Linked DNA regions of Styela clava. The protein of the gene in region 1 binds, or shares a complex with, the protein of each later gene. Links are inferred from orthologs where the notes say so. Each region holds a gene or a part of one and is shown on either strand. Other genes may lie near its edges.

What was found. The genes of interacting proteins can lie anywhere in the genome.
Region 2: U5 small nuclear ribonucleoprotein 40 kDa protein-like (region 1) and pre-mRNA-processing-splicing factor 8 share a complex: the UniProt entries of both Homo sapiens proteins name them as parts of the U4/U6-U5 tri-snRNP complex. The link is inferred for Styela clava from reciprocal best matches to the Homo sapiens genes SNRNP40 and PRPF8.

The regions. Positions count from the first base shown.
Region 1 is NC_135250.1:11,930,482-11,937,801, forward strand, and holds the start of U5 small nuclear ribonucleoprotein 40 kDa protein-like, read left to right. Parts: upstream 1-4,240; 5' UTR 4,241-4,255; intron 4,256-7,320. UniProt on the Homo sapiens protein: Required for pre-mRNA splicing as component of the activated spliceosome. Component of the U5 small nuclear ribonucleoprotein (snRNP) complex and the U4/U6-U5 tri-snRNP complex, building blocks of the spliceosome.
Region 2 is NC_135250.1:4,435,444-4,443,150, forward strand, and holds the start of pre-mRNA-processing-splicing factor 8, read left to right. Parts: upstream 1-4,645; 5' UTR 4,646-4,769; coding exon 4,770-4,883; intron 4,884-5,597; coding exon 5,598-5,773; intron 5,774-6,117; coding exon 6,118-6,282; intron 6,283-7,290; coding exon 7,291-7,509; intron 7,510-7,707. Other genes in the region: uncharacterized protein LOC144428064, read left to right, coding at 138-215, 587-772. UniProt on the Homo sapiens protein: Plays a role in pre-mRNA splicing as core component of precatalytic, catalytic and postcatalytic spliceosomal complexes, both of the predominant U2-type spliceosome and the minor U12-type spliceosome.

The DNA of each region.
Region 1 (7,320 bases):
CTTATCCCGGTATCGCCTTAAAATTATTTACGAATCGAGATAGTTCCATAATCGCGCTACTGCAAGGGATATGTAGCGTGGTTCGAACATACTTCAATAAGACCCGATTCCGGTATTAAACAGACAAATTCTCAGTGTTCGATGAGCAATTTCTACTTTGAGATATCATAAAGAAAAACAGCATCAACTGCGCACTTTTTGGATGACATCGAATATACGATTTTGCAATGAAATCGGGAACAGTATATTTTGGCAAAAAAATTATTCTGAATTTATCGTTTTCAAATTTTTATAATCAGTAATATTTGTACTTCAATTATTTTTACAATTGTTGGGACCTCACCAATACAGTTAGTGATGTTCTTTTGAATTAAACACCCCAGGTGATGAATTTGCGATGAACTAATCATTTTTTATGTACCTTAATTGTACATTATAAAGATGATTTGTACCTGAGATGTCAGTTAACGGTTAAAATAAATCGTAACCGTTAACCATGTAAAATCGGTTAACCGATTGATCGGTTAACCATTTCCAGCCCTATTATTGAAATAATCGTCGCAAGACAATTTTGCCCCGATATCTCCGGACAAAGCACCCTGCATTAGGTCTGATGTTTTTATTGTAATACTAGCATCGATGACCAATGTGATTTTGTTACAGTATTTTATATCGTATACCGAATATCTTTCGCGTGTGTACTGATATTTCCATTCACATCAACTATTTAATACATTTGTCAAAATATTGAGTGATAAGTGTTAAAGTTGCGTGTAGACAATGGTTTAATATGTTAAAGGTTTATATTATATTGGTTATATTATGTTTTATTGTTATTTTATGTTATATTATGTTTTATTATATTATATTGACCGACCTAATATTGAGTATCTGGTTTTGGAGTATTAATTTTGAACCATTAAAGTCAATAAGATAGGCAGAAATATATAGACCTATTTCGTCGAAGCGATAAACAACAACTAACCAGTGAACACCTGAGTGTCGCTGTCTTACGTCTGCAAGGGAACCGAACGAGACAACACCACATCCTTTCGGGAGACGCAAACTGCAAGTAGCTTCAATCGTTTCCTAATCTAACGGACTAATTTAACAAGCATTAGTTAGGGACAGAACTACTAATCCACAACGTCATCAAAAAACCGACATAACCGGTCCAGATTACCAGTTCTCACGACTCTAAAAATTCTTGGTATTATCATTAATTTCAATAAGAGAAGGATGCAGACATCGCAATTCATTGTATCAACTCCTTCACAGTGGGGAACGCGCACTAATATAACCAGGATTAGGGCCATGATCGGGCCCCAATGCAGTGTAACGCCCGTTGATGAAGTAACAAAAATATTAGTCGCGTCCAGAATGCCATCAAAATTTTCCGTAGTACTAACTGCAATTAACGATGAACCGATAATCATGAACGACAATGAACCTGATAAAGTAACCCGTATGCAGAGTCGGTATTATGCAAATTCAATGAAGGTACAGAGTAGGAAAGACGACAAAATTCCCGGCCAAGACAAATCTGACAAATGAAGCTTGCCAACGAGGGCCCTTGGATAAAATCTGGAAAGAGCCCAGATTTGGTAAAACGCAAATTCGGAATGATATATATTAGTAACAACAAAGATGAATGTTCGGCGAAAATGGCCAAGGTATGCCCTGAAAAAACACCTGAATGGGACCCAGATGAGGCGACGATACAGCTGGTCAATACTGAAAGTATGAGCAAGCTGCCAGAATCTAGAAACAACAGCAAAGCATCTGCCCGAGTGGCTAAAGAGAAAAAAGTCTTCATTGATCAACCTTCTGTGAGAACCAGCCAGCAGAATAGTGAAGAATATGTTAATATCAAAATGGATGAAATCCGAGGAAACGTCCAAATGCAGTTGAAAAGCAAAATCATGATGCGAAACCCAAAATGACGACTGCTGATCACTCGTTTCGGGATATGCCAGAAGCTGGCCGAGATAATGACCGCTCCGAAGCAGATGCACTTCGTATATCCAATGACGTGACAAAATTCATATTGGAGGGAAGTTGTAAAGTTTTGCTGAGGGGTTTACTTTCGAGTAATCGAGTAACACCCCGGATGAACACTGCGATTAGAGGGTGGAGAAGTGCAACTAAGCGAAAAGTGCGGCGTTGACTCGTGTAGAGCGATGTGGCAGTGTACAAAGATATTTATTATTGTTAAAAAATTTGTGTTAGCGTATATTTTGTTGTACGAATAACATATCGGGGCATCCGAGTAAAAGTGCCGTACGCACCGTATGCCTAAGCTAATTGGAATATTTAGAAAAATGATTTCTGTCTAAAGCTCAATTTAATAGCACAAAATACGAATAGGATAATAGAGCAAAATTTTTACAGTCGAAATTGGGTTATTATTATTTTGGCATAGTTGGGAAATATGAACTCTTATTTTGGTAGAGTCATGGAACTAATTTTCTGTGAACAGGGAGTCATTAAATGCTAGCGTGGTCTTGTCCGCGCACTGCATATCAAGAAACTATTCCTATTTTAGCAGTGAGTCTTGAAAACAGGAAATTCTCTGCGAAATGAGGTCACATATGTTGAAAAGTCTATGACTTGTGGTTTTTTAGCAAAACGTCGCATTCGTATATATTGCAAAAAGGTTTTACGTAAATTGGGCACTTATGACTCACAATTAAACCTGGACTGTCGCTTTTGATATTATAAAAAGGGTTTATGTTAATTATTTGTATTATTCACGTAATCTTGATCTCAAAAATTAGAAATGGGATTCTAAGTTAAGTTATATTGTAAGAAAATGTTCGTAATTTATTACTATTATTTTAGTTTAGAATTAGTTACAAAGTTGTTAACGTTAAATGTCTTTGAGTTTTGTATTTTAATTTTTTTTGCCAATTGTAAAGTTTAAATGTCTTTCATTCTGGAAATTGCAACATGATGTAGTGATTGGGAATATTGTTGATCAAATGTTGAATATTCAAATGTTCTCACAAAAAACACATGTTGTTGACTTGTAATTGAACCGCAAACGATTTCTGAAAATGTTCGACATGAAGTTTATCCCACCTGTCAATCAATTCACCCACGTTATGAAATGTAATTATTGTATGAATAGGTCATGTGGGATCAAGCATGTTATAAGACTTTGGAATTTCTCATTGATTTAAACTTAGCGTGTATGTATGTATTTTCATTTTTGTGCTTATATCTGAATTTTTATTAGGGCTTAAGGAATTAATACGCATATATTTATATCGTGTATGTATTTGGTTTATGCACTACTCATTTTTAATCTTTTAGGTAATCTTGCTTACTCGTACGACTAAATGACTTGAAACTTTATTTTATTATTATTTTTGAGTTTAATGTTCAATTTATTTTTGATTAAATTGTTCATTATTGATTAATCGGGCGCATCCGAATGGAGAATGTAAGTCGTAATTTCATGTTTTTATTTTGTTATATTGCATAGTAAAGTTATACCGCATACTGAATGCGATTATTTATTGGGATTGTTCCAACTTGTATTTTAAAACTCATAAAAAAACTATAAAACGGAACAGTTGAAAACTCTTAATATAACCAATACTTTCACCCACCAGACTTAGGAACAAAATCGGGGCCACCATGCAAAAACTAAATTGCTGATGAATGTAACATATATTCCGGTTTCAGTGTATTTGAACAATTTCACCTCGGCGGAGTAATTATCTGTAAGTTATATACATACTTTATAAATGAGTAAATATGACTGAGCAGAGAAAAACACTCGAAAAAAATGGAGGCACCACTGGGATTGATTTGAGGGCAATTGTCACGGCAGATTACATTGTCATGACCAACGCACCATATTAGGTGTTTCTAATGAAAGATTAACTTCGGTATCAAGGGTCCTTGGCGATCTACGGTCGATTGTGGATGGTTAAACATAGAGCTGATGTGTCTATGGAATTATTCAATGAACAATGTGATTTTGTTACAATATTTCATATCGTATGCCAATTATCTTTTGTGTGTGTAATGATATTTTCATGCATAAATATCGAATATTTAGCAAAATATTATGTGAAAAGTAGTGACGATTATGATCACTGATAAATGTATATTTCAGTGATCAAGTTGGTGTTTTGAAATTTCGTGTAGACAACGTTTCAATATGTTAAATGTTTATATTAGTTTGGGTATATTATGTTTTTTTTGTATTAACCGAACTAATATTGGAGTGTTTGGTTGTATTAAGGCTTAGACCATAAAATTAAATAAGATCGGCAGATTCGGGTCGCTCTGAGACTCGAGTTGGTGTGGACGAAGACCTCTGTCGTCGAAACGATAAACAATTTACCGATGAACATCTGAGTGTCGCTGTTGTACGTCTGTAAGATCTGCAAGAGAACCGAACGAGACAGCACCACATCAAGAAAATCGCCGTGGAGAGGCAGCCCTGCGAGAAGACGCAAACTGCAAGTAGCTTTAATCGTTTCCTAATCTAATTGACTAATTTAATCAGCATTAGTAAGGGACAGGACTACTGATTCCCAGCGTCGCCAACAAAACGGCAACACCAGTCCAGAATACCAGCCTTTACGAGAGAAATTTTAAAAGAAGAGCTGAGAATTGCATGCTTGCACGTTAATACTTTTCCAAGACATTTATAGGAGATGGTGCTAAATTGGTTCAAGAAGGGGAGGGCGCGCCTTACAAGGGGGAAGAGAAACTTCGGGAAATAATGAGTCTAATCAAACAGGCCATAGAGAGACACAAGAATGTTAGCGGGACGGAAAAGAAACTCTGCAAAGACTTGATAAGACTTTTTGCCGAAATGCAACGCGAACTATCGAGTGCTAAAAAAAGGAATTGGAACAGGCAAAGAAAGAGGTCAAGAAAGCCGAAATTAATCTCGCAACTGTAGAAAAGGGGGCAAAAAAGACCAGTACGAAAGTTAATGTAGAAGATTTCCAAAAGGTATTCAAGACGAATACCAGGCTGGGAAATTGTACATGGAATCCTTATTGGAGGATTCGGCAAATGCGCAGCCAGCGTACGCAGCGGTTAAAGCAATAGAGCCAACGGCTCCAGTGCCATCGCCGCCCTCTTACAGTGCCACTCCAATCAAGCGATAAATCTCCCTAAATTTGTGGGCAATCCACATCGAGATTCCCGAGGGCCTATCAATGGTCGTGGAGAAGGGATTTGACAGCCAACAGGTTAACGTGGTAAGAAATATATTGTCAAATAGTCATTTTCATCAGTCAGTAATTTATTTCTTCACGATACTCAAAAAAGAAGATATATATATATCCGTAAACCATAACTGGTTGCACAAACGACGTTAGGGATGATTTCAATTATTCCGCGAAAGTAGTTCTTACCGTAGTTGAACAATGGCATAGCCATAGATGTGTTGGCGCAGACGATCACCCTGGTACGTTTTATGTAACATCTCAAAATGCCTTACACGATAAGTCTCCGAATTACTTACATTTTCCATTCAACGAATTTATTTAAATATGTCATTACCAGATGCGCATTGTAAATTTATATCCGTTTTTAATTGCTGAAACTCATAATTTGTTTGCTAAATTATTACAAAGACAATCAACTTTATTAATTAATCAAGGGCTACATTCATTGAAAATACCATCTGACTGCAAAACCCGATGGCTGTACATTCAGGCTGTTGTAGATAGAAATACCAATAATCTCTAGCTCTTCAAAACTATTTTTACTAAATTAGTCCCGCCCACTTAAAAGCTGATCCACTACTCACTTGTACAATCGAAGATTATATAAATTCCAGGCTTATTTATTATCTTATCTCCCGTTATAAACTAGCTGGAACAGAGGCTTCAAAAAAATATTCAACCTTGTAAAGTGGAACAACAACACAGAATCAGGGAAGTTTTGGGCTGAAGGATATGCAAAAAATTCCCTGACTTCATTTTCAGAATACTTTGAGTTCGCTAAGCAAGTGTAGCGTACCGACAGACGATGAAATAATTATCCAAGTTCAAAATATCTTCCAATATGGTCTGACGTCAAGTTTCTTCTCAATATTCACTTCAAGTAATGTTATTTTATTCTATTTATTATTCATCAATCTTAATACAACCAAATACTTCAAACAAAAGACAAGCATACAATAAAGCGACAAGTACCAGGTAGCACAATGCAAGAAAACAGAATATACACAATAAAAACACTTTGAACAGTACTGATGATAGCTAATTCCCTGACAACAATCAAAAATACAACGATAAAATAACTGCAATGGCACTGTACTGGAACAATAATATCAGCCTACTGTCTAGCATAAAAACATCCAACAAATCTCCATCCCGCAGTCACAAAACCACAAACAAAGATCCCTGATAACCCACCTGAGACCAGAGGCACTCCCACCGACACTCATGACCAGAATCCAACCACACTGTACCGGTACCAACCACATCACACCACAGCACAGCACACGCTAACAGCCACACCCAAAAAGAACAGAACCGACAGTGTCACAGCGTGTGTCCTCCCAGTGTCCCCATTGTCAAAATACCAAATAAGACAATAATTTCACATGACAGCATTTAAAACCTTCCCCAACCGATCTGTCTGGTGCCATTTTACATGGGTTATTTTTTGTCAACCATTAGGCCCCCAAAGCTTCACTCATGGCTTTTTATTAGCGTGTGATAGAGCTCTATTCAGCAATATATGTAAAACGCACTCATCTAAAAAAAAATTTTTTTACGCCAAAATTCAAAAATTTCTATTGAACTTGCAAGATTTTGTGTCTAGTAGAAGGTTAATAATTATTCCTAGTTAATTAATTTTTATTTTAACCTTTTTTTGTGTTATTTTTCAACAGAACAGCACCAAAACCACTATTATAGCAAGGATGGTCACTCTAAAATTCACGATTGTATTTACTAAATTTTTAAGTTCAAGGCTTCAATTGACAATTTTGATGACGCCACACCTCTAATTATTAGTGCACACGCCCCCCTCAATGCAAAAAATGTTACTTTTTCCGACGGAAATGCGCGTAGAAAGCCGTAAACATTATAATGTGCGCCGTTACGCGTGAAAATTACCATTAATTTTACGTTTTTTTCGCGTTTGAAAATTCTGGATACCTCTGCCAAGTATGGTGCAGTCAAAATCATATTTATCAAAATATCACAGCGCCAGGGATGATATGTCTGACTGAAAATACATGCTAAACCAATAATAAGTCATTATAAAGGAGTTAATGCTATTGATTTTCTGTCTGAGTCGCGTCAACAATTTTACACATCTGAATGGCGATTTTGA
Region 2 (7,707 bases), about 7.5 Mb from region 1:
GCTTACAACTTTTTTGTCGAGTATGAAAGTCACTGCGCTTGACTACTATTTCACCACTTCAATTTTTTAAAATAAACTTTTATTGCTAAATACCAAACCTAGCTTAATTGTTGTCATTTTATATTTTCTGCTTCTAGTCTGATGAAACATCGGCAGAAATAGAATGGAAAGCAATTGAAGGAGGAACAGAATATAGAGTATACTATCACGAAACGGTAAATTTCTTTATGTTTCTATTTGTCTATGTGCGCGGGCTCAAATTGGAATTCATGAATTGGCGAATGAGACTTCTGAAACGTTGGTTTGTTGGGAGGACCGTAATCTCTTTGATTTGGCATTTCCTACATAAATTTACACCATTCTTAATTAGGAGCAAGATCTTTACATCTTTAGATCAAACGCTTCAACATATGCACTATTGAAAGATTGAATGAGAATTAACCTAGCTTTTTTGCATACATGAAATTTTAATAAGTTTATTGGAAACAAAATGTGCATATGGATCAATTTGCTATAGTCTTGCTGTTGTTGTTTGGGTAATTTTTATTGTTCATATATTTGACACCACTCTATTTTATGTTTCTAGATGATGGCGGATAAGAAAGCTTATGATGGACCAATTCTAGGCTGTGCTGAAGCTGGATCTACCATGTCAGCTACCATAAACAACTTGCAGAAAAACCAGGACTATTCAGTTTGGATTCAAGTTAAAAGAGATGGCCAATTTTTGGCCAATCTGTTAGGGGATAAAATCCCTAAATCCCGCCCATGAATTGTATGAACTTTCTGTCGAAATTGATGTTGTGCATATTAATAAAGTATATTCAAAACTAGAATATTTTGTGCTATCGATTGGGTTTCTACAAGACCAACTACTTTTCCGTTTTCTTTGCTTTTGCTTTTTCTAGAATATTTTTCTTGAAAATTTAAGGCAATAAACATCATATCTAAAAAGTCAAATGTGTAGGCTACATTTCTTGCGCTACCGCTCGAGTGGCAGAATGAGTTTTATCAATTTGTCAACCAAAAAATACAGTCATCAATAAAATAGCAACCGCAATAAAATTGTTTTGTTATGGTCAGGAGGGAGCGATACGATCATACATGGAGGTCAGCATCCACCATATTCTTTGATGTGAATAAAATTCACACAGGAAGATGACTACTAACAAAACATGAACTAGTACAATAGTAATAATACGACAATGTCTTGATTTGGTTATTAAGGAAATACTAACTCAGAAAAAGATTATGCGACTGTCAGGTCGCTTAGTTTTTAAATTTACTCCGCGTGGGTTCGCAGGTTGGAATCCCTTGGAATAATTATGTGCGAAAGGATTTCTCGTCGCCATAGGGTGGTTAAGGTAACCGATTTTTTTGTATTCTCTAAGAGAGAGGGAAAATGAGGTGTTTAGCCAGAAAACAGAAAAACAATCACTGCAACAATAAAAATATACAACTTACCCCGTAATTTAAGAGTTTTGAATCAGATAAGTTAGTTATTATCACGCTTGCTACAGCATTCTTGCATTATATGCATACGGATCCACCGACACAAAAGCATAGAAGAGGGATAAGTAGTTAGTTTCGCAGAAACCAAATCATACCCCCTAAACTAAATGTACATAAAAAGTAATTTTAGTTAGTTTGCAAAGATCAACAATCTGTACATTAGTTTATTTTTATTTGATGCCTCATTGGCTATTATATTCTCCGGAAAAATTTTATATTTATCTTTCTTCCGACATTCAGTACACTACACGATGAACAAGAGAGCTATGCTCAAATATATGGACATAAAATTTTGATGACGTCATAGCGAAAATTTTTTTTAACTTTAACCACTGAAAATTTCAAAGCAATTGGTCCAGTATACGAAGAGAAAAGCGATTTATTCAAAACGTGTTGCTTGAGACAAATAATAACAATAACAACAAAATTTTGAAACGATCGTTATGTCCACTACGTGTCCAAAAGTGAATGAAAATATACCACGTGACCTAACTTTGACACGCGCGAGTGCATTTGCACATTTTATAAAACGTACGTCTTGCGTTTCAGCGTCGGCGTGTTGATTGATTCAGTTTTTACGCGTTTTCATGTTTTACTTCCCCAGAATCTGAGAATAGAACAGTATTATTTCGATGGGAGACAGGCTAGACTAATTGTATTTTTATCCTTTGCGGTAGAAGTTATGGTGACCGTACATTTGAACCCATAAGAATATCCGCGGGTTCAATCTATATGCGTCTGCTAAAACTGTAAAACCCATTGGGATGGTTAGTATGGGTTCAAATATCCAGAATATCCGCAAAAAAAAATCCCTGATGCAATAGTATGCAGGTGCAATTGTCGTGGGTTTAAATGTACGGGTACCAGAAGTTATAAGTAGGCTATATTCAACCGTGTGCAATGTCAGAATGTAGGACAATAGGATGTTAAATTTTCCGATTTTATTTTGGGAAAAACAAGAAAACGTGAACATTCACCTATCCACTGTAGACTACATACAGACATAGGCCATAATTATACGGTATCTTATGAATTTAACAAAGTATCTCATCATAATCTTAAATCACATTAAAAACAGCAATATCAGAATATTGTATTTTGAAATTCAAACTAGCCTACACAGCTACAGGACTACGGTACCCGTACCTAAACTACAAAACAAAATTCGGGTCTGGTATAGTTTAGTAGTCTATCACATGTCTGACTTCTAGTTGGCCTGGCTCCACAATTATTGCATATGCCATTTCTAACCCCCACCTGACTGCGTCATCCAAAAATTACGGGTCTAATATAGTTTAGTACCACAAGTACTTCTGGTTGACCAGACTGGAATCCATGGCAGGTGCACGCCCGAGGGCGCTAGCGCTCCGCGAAAATGCACGCGAGCGAATTCAATTTTGCACGCCGAAAATTTGCAATTGCTCACCAATGTAAATCGGTTTAAATTGTTTTAAAATCAATAATCCAGTAATATAAAGATGCCAAAATAGTATAACTCCACAATTGTCGACTAATACTAGCTTGCAAAATTTGGTCTGATCGAAAAATGCGAAGCAAAAAAGACCATATCGTGTTGAATGATAGGAATCCCGTGAGAATAGTTATGGACGAAAAGATCGCCTCCGCACCAACGCTGGCCAGGTACGGCTCTGATTTAGCGTATTTTTCATACAATAATTTTACACGAATGTACTGAACAGTACCGGTATTTAAAGTCGAACAAACACTCTCAAAATTAGTGACGGAGTATAAAAATACTGTTTGGGGTCAATGGTCAAACGTCCAATTTTGCTCTAATTTGATGTATTTTTATTAATTCTACGTAAAAACACTCCCAAAATTAATGACAAAGTATGTCCATTTTTCTCTGGTTCAACGTATTTTTTATTCAATAATTTTACGCGGATGTACTGAACACTACCGGTATCCAATATCGCACAAACACTCTCAAAATTAGCGACAAACTGTAGAAAAAATGTTTGGGGTTAAAGGTCAAACGTCCATTTTTGCTCTGATTCAACGTATTTTTTATCCGATACCGGACGGTGATGTATCGAGAGGTATCTAATGTCAAAGTCAGTTGCACGCGGGCGCAGTTGTTTTGCACGCCGTGAGCTATAATTGCAGAGCCATTATATAATGGCTCTGATAATTGCACGCCAGGGATTCTTATTTGCACGCAGGAATTTCTGATTGCACGCCCGATTTCTCGTTCAAAAAGGCCATGAAAACCAGACTGGGTAGTCTATCACATGTCTGACTTCTAGTTGGCCTGGCTCCACAATTATTGCATATGCCATTTCTAACCCCCACCTGACCGCGTCATCCAAAAATTACGGGTCTAATATAGTTTAGTACCACAAGTACTTCTGGTTGACGTAGCATAACGAATTTTGCATATGTTCTTCCTAACCCCTACCTGACTATGTCTTCTAAAACTTTATTCCCAACGACGTCACAATCACATCATACAGTCATAGATCTTGCCAAAGTATAGCTACGACTGTACGATCACTCGAAAGGGCATCTGCATCGACGATAACGAACTCACTAACACCCGTGTTCTCTCGCATATCGGGATTGCTGGAGGTCTTTATTACGCCACTGTGGCGTCGTAGTGACGTAACTTTTGGTGACGTAGTCAGGCAGTACAGCACACAATCCAAATTCCAAGAATTACCCTCCATTTGGCTCAATGAAACAAACACTCTATGTGTCTCACAAATGAGGGGCATCTGGGACCACGTCGGATGCTTCATATCGCGCCATGCTTATCTCAATAATAATTAATCGCAGCCGTCACATGACCAAAATTGCCGTTTTTTGCTAAAAACGTTCGAATAAAATTTTTTTCCTTCGGTAAATCGGATTATTTTTTCCCAAGGATAACAATGATGACGTTACTAGATTGTGCTTTTTTGTAGTATTTTGCGCAAATTCATTATACTGTTTTATTATCGATATTGAGGTACAACAATGTCCAGACGTCTCCCAAAGGAGGTGTGTCTGATCATCTGTAAAATGGGATTGAGGATTGACATATGCAAAAATTGTCGATTCAGGTCAACTAGAAGTGCATGTGGTACTAAACTATACCAGACCCTTATGGCCCTTGCTTCCCAGTACTTCTAATAACTTCTACAATTTTTGTATTAGAAAGCTGTAAGTATAAAAGTTTATGGAAACTTGCTCGTAGGTAGCTAGTTTCACTCGGGCTGTCACAAGTTTGTAGAGCGTTGCTCACAACTTGAACCAGCATGGCGTTTCAATATGGAATGCAACCTCCACCAGGTATGCCACCACCTGGTATGCCACCTGGAATATCACAACCTCCCCCTCCTGCTGGTGGACTCAGTGAGGAACGATTACAGGTTGGTTGTGTTTTTACTTGAATTTTTTATGATTTTTACTGAAGGGAATACTTCAGTTATGCAAGATGAAGTTTCATGATCAATATATTGTAACATGACCACTATGACTGAGCATTTTAGCGTATTTGATGATTTCAAAATCGATTCAATTTTTTTTTTTGGAGGTGAATTTTGGATACCTACTTAATACAACGACTGAGGTATAATACAACGACTTAATTGCATGTTATATTTTTATTGTAATGGAAGATATAGAACCCAACACTCGGTCAGTCCTGCAGTCACATACAATAGGGAACATGTTTCATCAATAACTCAATAGGAAGAATAAAGTCATATGTCAGAATTACATTTCGAAAACATGGCTTCAATAAAAAAATTGAGCAATTCACTAAAATAACAAGATGACGGAGTTTCGAAATTTTCGTCTGAACCGATTCGAATAAATTAATATTCGTTTAGACTCGAATATTCAATTCAAAATGCCCATCCCTTATATCCAGGTTGTTATAAGTATTTTGTTGGAACAAAATTTGGAATTGAAAAATCTGTAAAAAAATTATTGATGAGAGTGTAATGAACAGTGCAACCCCAAACAAAGTAGATTCCAATTTATAATAGTTTCTTACCCGGTTATCTGCCTGTGCAAAGCCTTGTTTGTAGCATAAACAATAATATATCATATAAAAAATAATGTCTGTTTATTGGTTCTAGGAAAAAGCTAGAAAATGGCAACAATTGCAATCAAAACGTTACGCAGAGAAAAGAAAGTTTGGATTTGTCGACCCACAAAAGGAAGACATGCCACCAGAACATGTCAGGAAAATTGTGAAGGATCATGGAGATATGACAAACAGGAAATTTCGCCATGATAAAAGAGTTTATTTGGGGTAAAAATATTTGTTTTTATACTGATGGTTTTAATATATAAGTTGCCAGTCAGTGTTAATTGAAAGTGAATGTTTCTTTCTTTATTTTTCAATTTTTCGTCTTGTAATTATAAAATTCAATTTATGTTTGTTGCACTGGAATGTACTCGATACCTGATATGTAAAAATACTTTGTTTTGAAAATTACGGTATTTAAAATACTGCATTCTTTAATTTTTGCCATCTCTGATTCAGAATATAACTTTTTGATGGTTCCAGCGTATTATATTCTCATAGTCTGAAGAATTCAGTTTCTTATTAAATAACTTATACATTTTCTGATAATTTTTTTCTTATCAATCCAGGGCTCTGAAGTACATGCCTCATGCTGTTCTAAAACTACTTGAGAACATGCCAATGCCTTGGGAACAGATTCGGGATGTTTCCGTCATTTATCACATCACTGGAGCTATTACTTTTGTCAATGAGATTCCATGGGTCATTGAGCCAGCTTATATCGCTCAATGGGGGTAAGATTGTGATATGAAAATTAAATAAAACAAGTTTGTTTAGTGGAAATTGTTATATTAATACAGAAAAAAAACTTATTTATAAATATGTATAATGAGGAAAATGCATTAGGTATCTGAAATATTAGTTTATTTTAAAATAAGCAATAGATATTTTGTTATTACCAGTATACTTTATGCAGGAGTTATTAAATTAGTAATTGTTGTCAATATTAGCGTTGTACTGTGCCTCCCTCCAAAAGAAAAAAAAACGGAACCCAGCTGATAGGGAACATATTCTCGAGAGGCCGTAACTTTTTTGAAAAGCTTTCCAGATTACTAAAACTTTTGGGTACAATCATACTCCGAACTTAGGTGCTGAATAAATATTCTTCATTCTCGTAGGATTTGTTAAAAAAAATTATGAGTTCTATTTTTTGGGCCAATCTATATGTGTGTGAAAATTACTGATGCGTGATGCCTAAATAATTACTTGATTATTATTTTTTTCATTGAAACCAATTCTTTTTACCAGTAATAATAAGTGTGATCAGCTGTGTAGTTATCGGTTTCAATAACTTTATGGATTGAAACATTTGGATTGCCTCAATGTTAAATGTATTTTAGACTTTAGACAGTTTGAATGAAGTAAGCTTATCAAGCAAGCAAAATAAGTGGTGCTTTGCTCGAATATAAACATTTTTCAAGCTTCATATAAATTTTGCATTTAGACTGGTCATAGTAATAAAAAATATTGTCGGGTTACACTGCGGTTCCCAAACTTTTTGTTCGTGTGGCGGCAACTTATCAGGGAAAAAACTCACGGCGCACTCACATGTGAAAAAAGAAAGTGCTTTAAAATAAAACTCAATTTTGTGATCGTCAATATTCAATCATATTTTAGTTATGTTTGATATAATTCTTTTAATTTTTGCAGTGCACTAGGCAACTTGTGCACCTATTGGGAACCACTGTGGTAACACATAATCAGTGTATTATACCGTCTAACTATTTTTCTGTATCTTCTAGTTCAATGTGGATTATGATGCGTCGCGAAAAACGTGATCGTCGTCATTTCAAGAGGATGAGATTTCCTCCTTTTGATGATGAGGAACCTCCTCTTGATTACGCAGATAACGTGCTGGATGTTGATCCTCTTGAAGCTATCCAGCTTGAACTGGATCCGGAAGAAGATTCCTCTGTTTCTGAGTGGTTTTATGATAATAAACCATTGCAGGATGAACCCAAGTAAGGATATTTATATAGTAGAATTTCTTTACCTAAAACTGAAGTATTTTTTCCATTTTAGGGATGTCTGTATACGAATATCTTGATACTCTGAAATTCAGTCTTACAATCAAATTTTATGAGGGAAATCATGATAATTAAATCGACAATGATAATGATACCACGAAAAATGACCAGTGCTGTAAAAGTGACTACTGA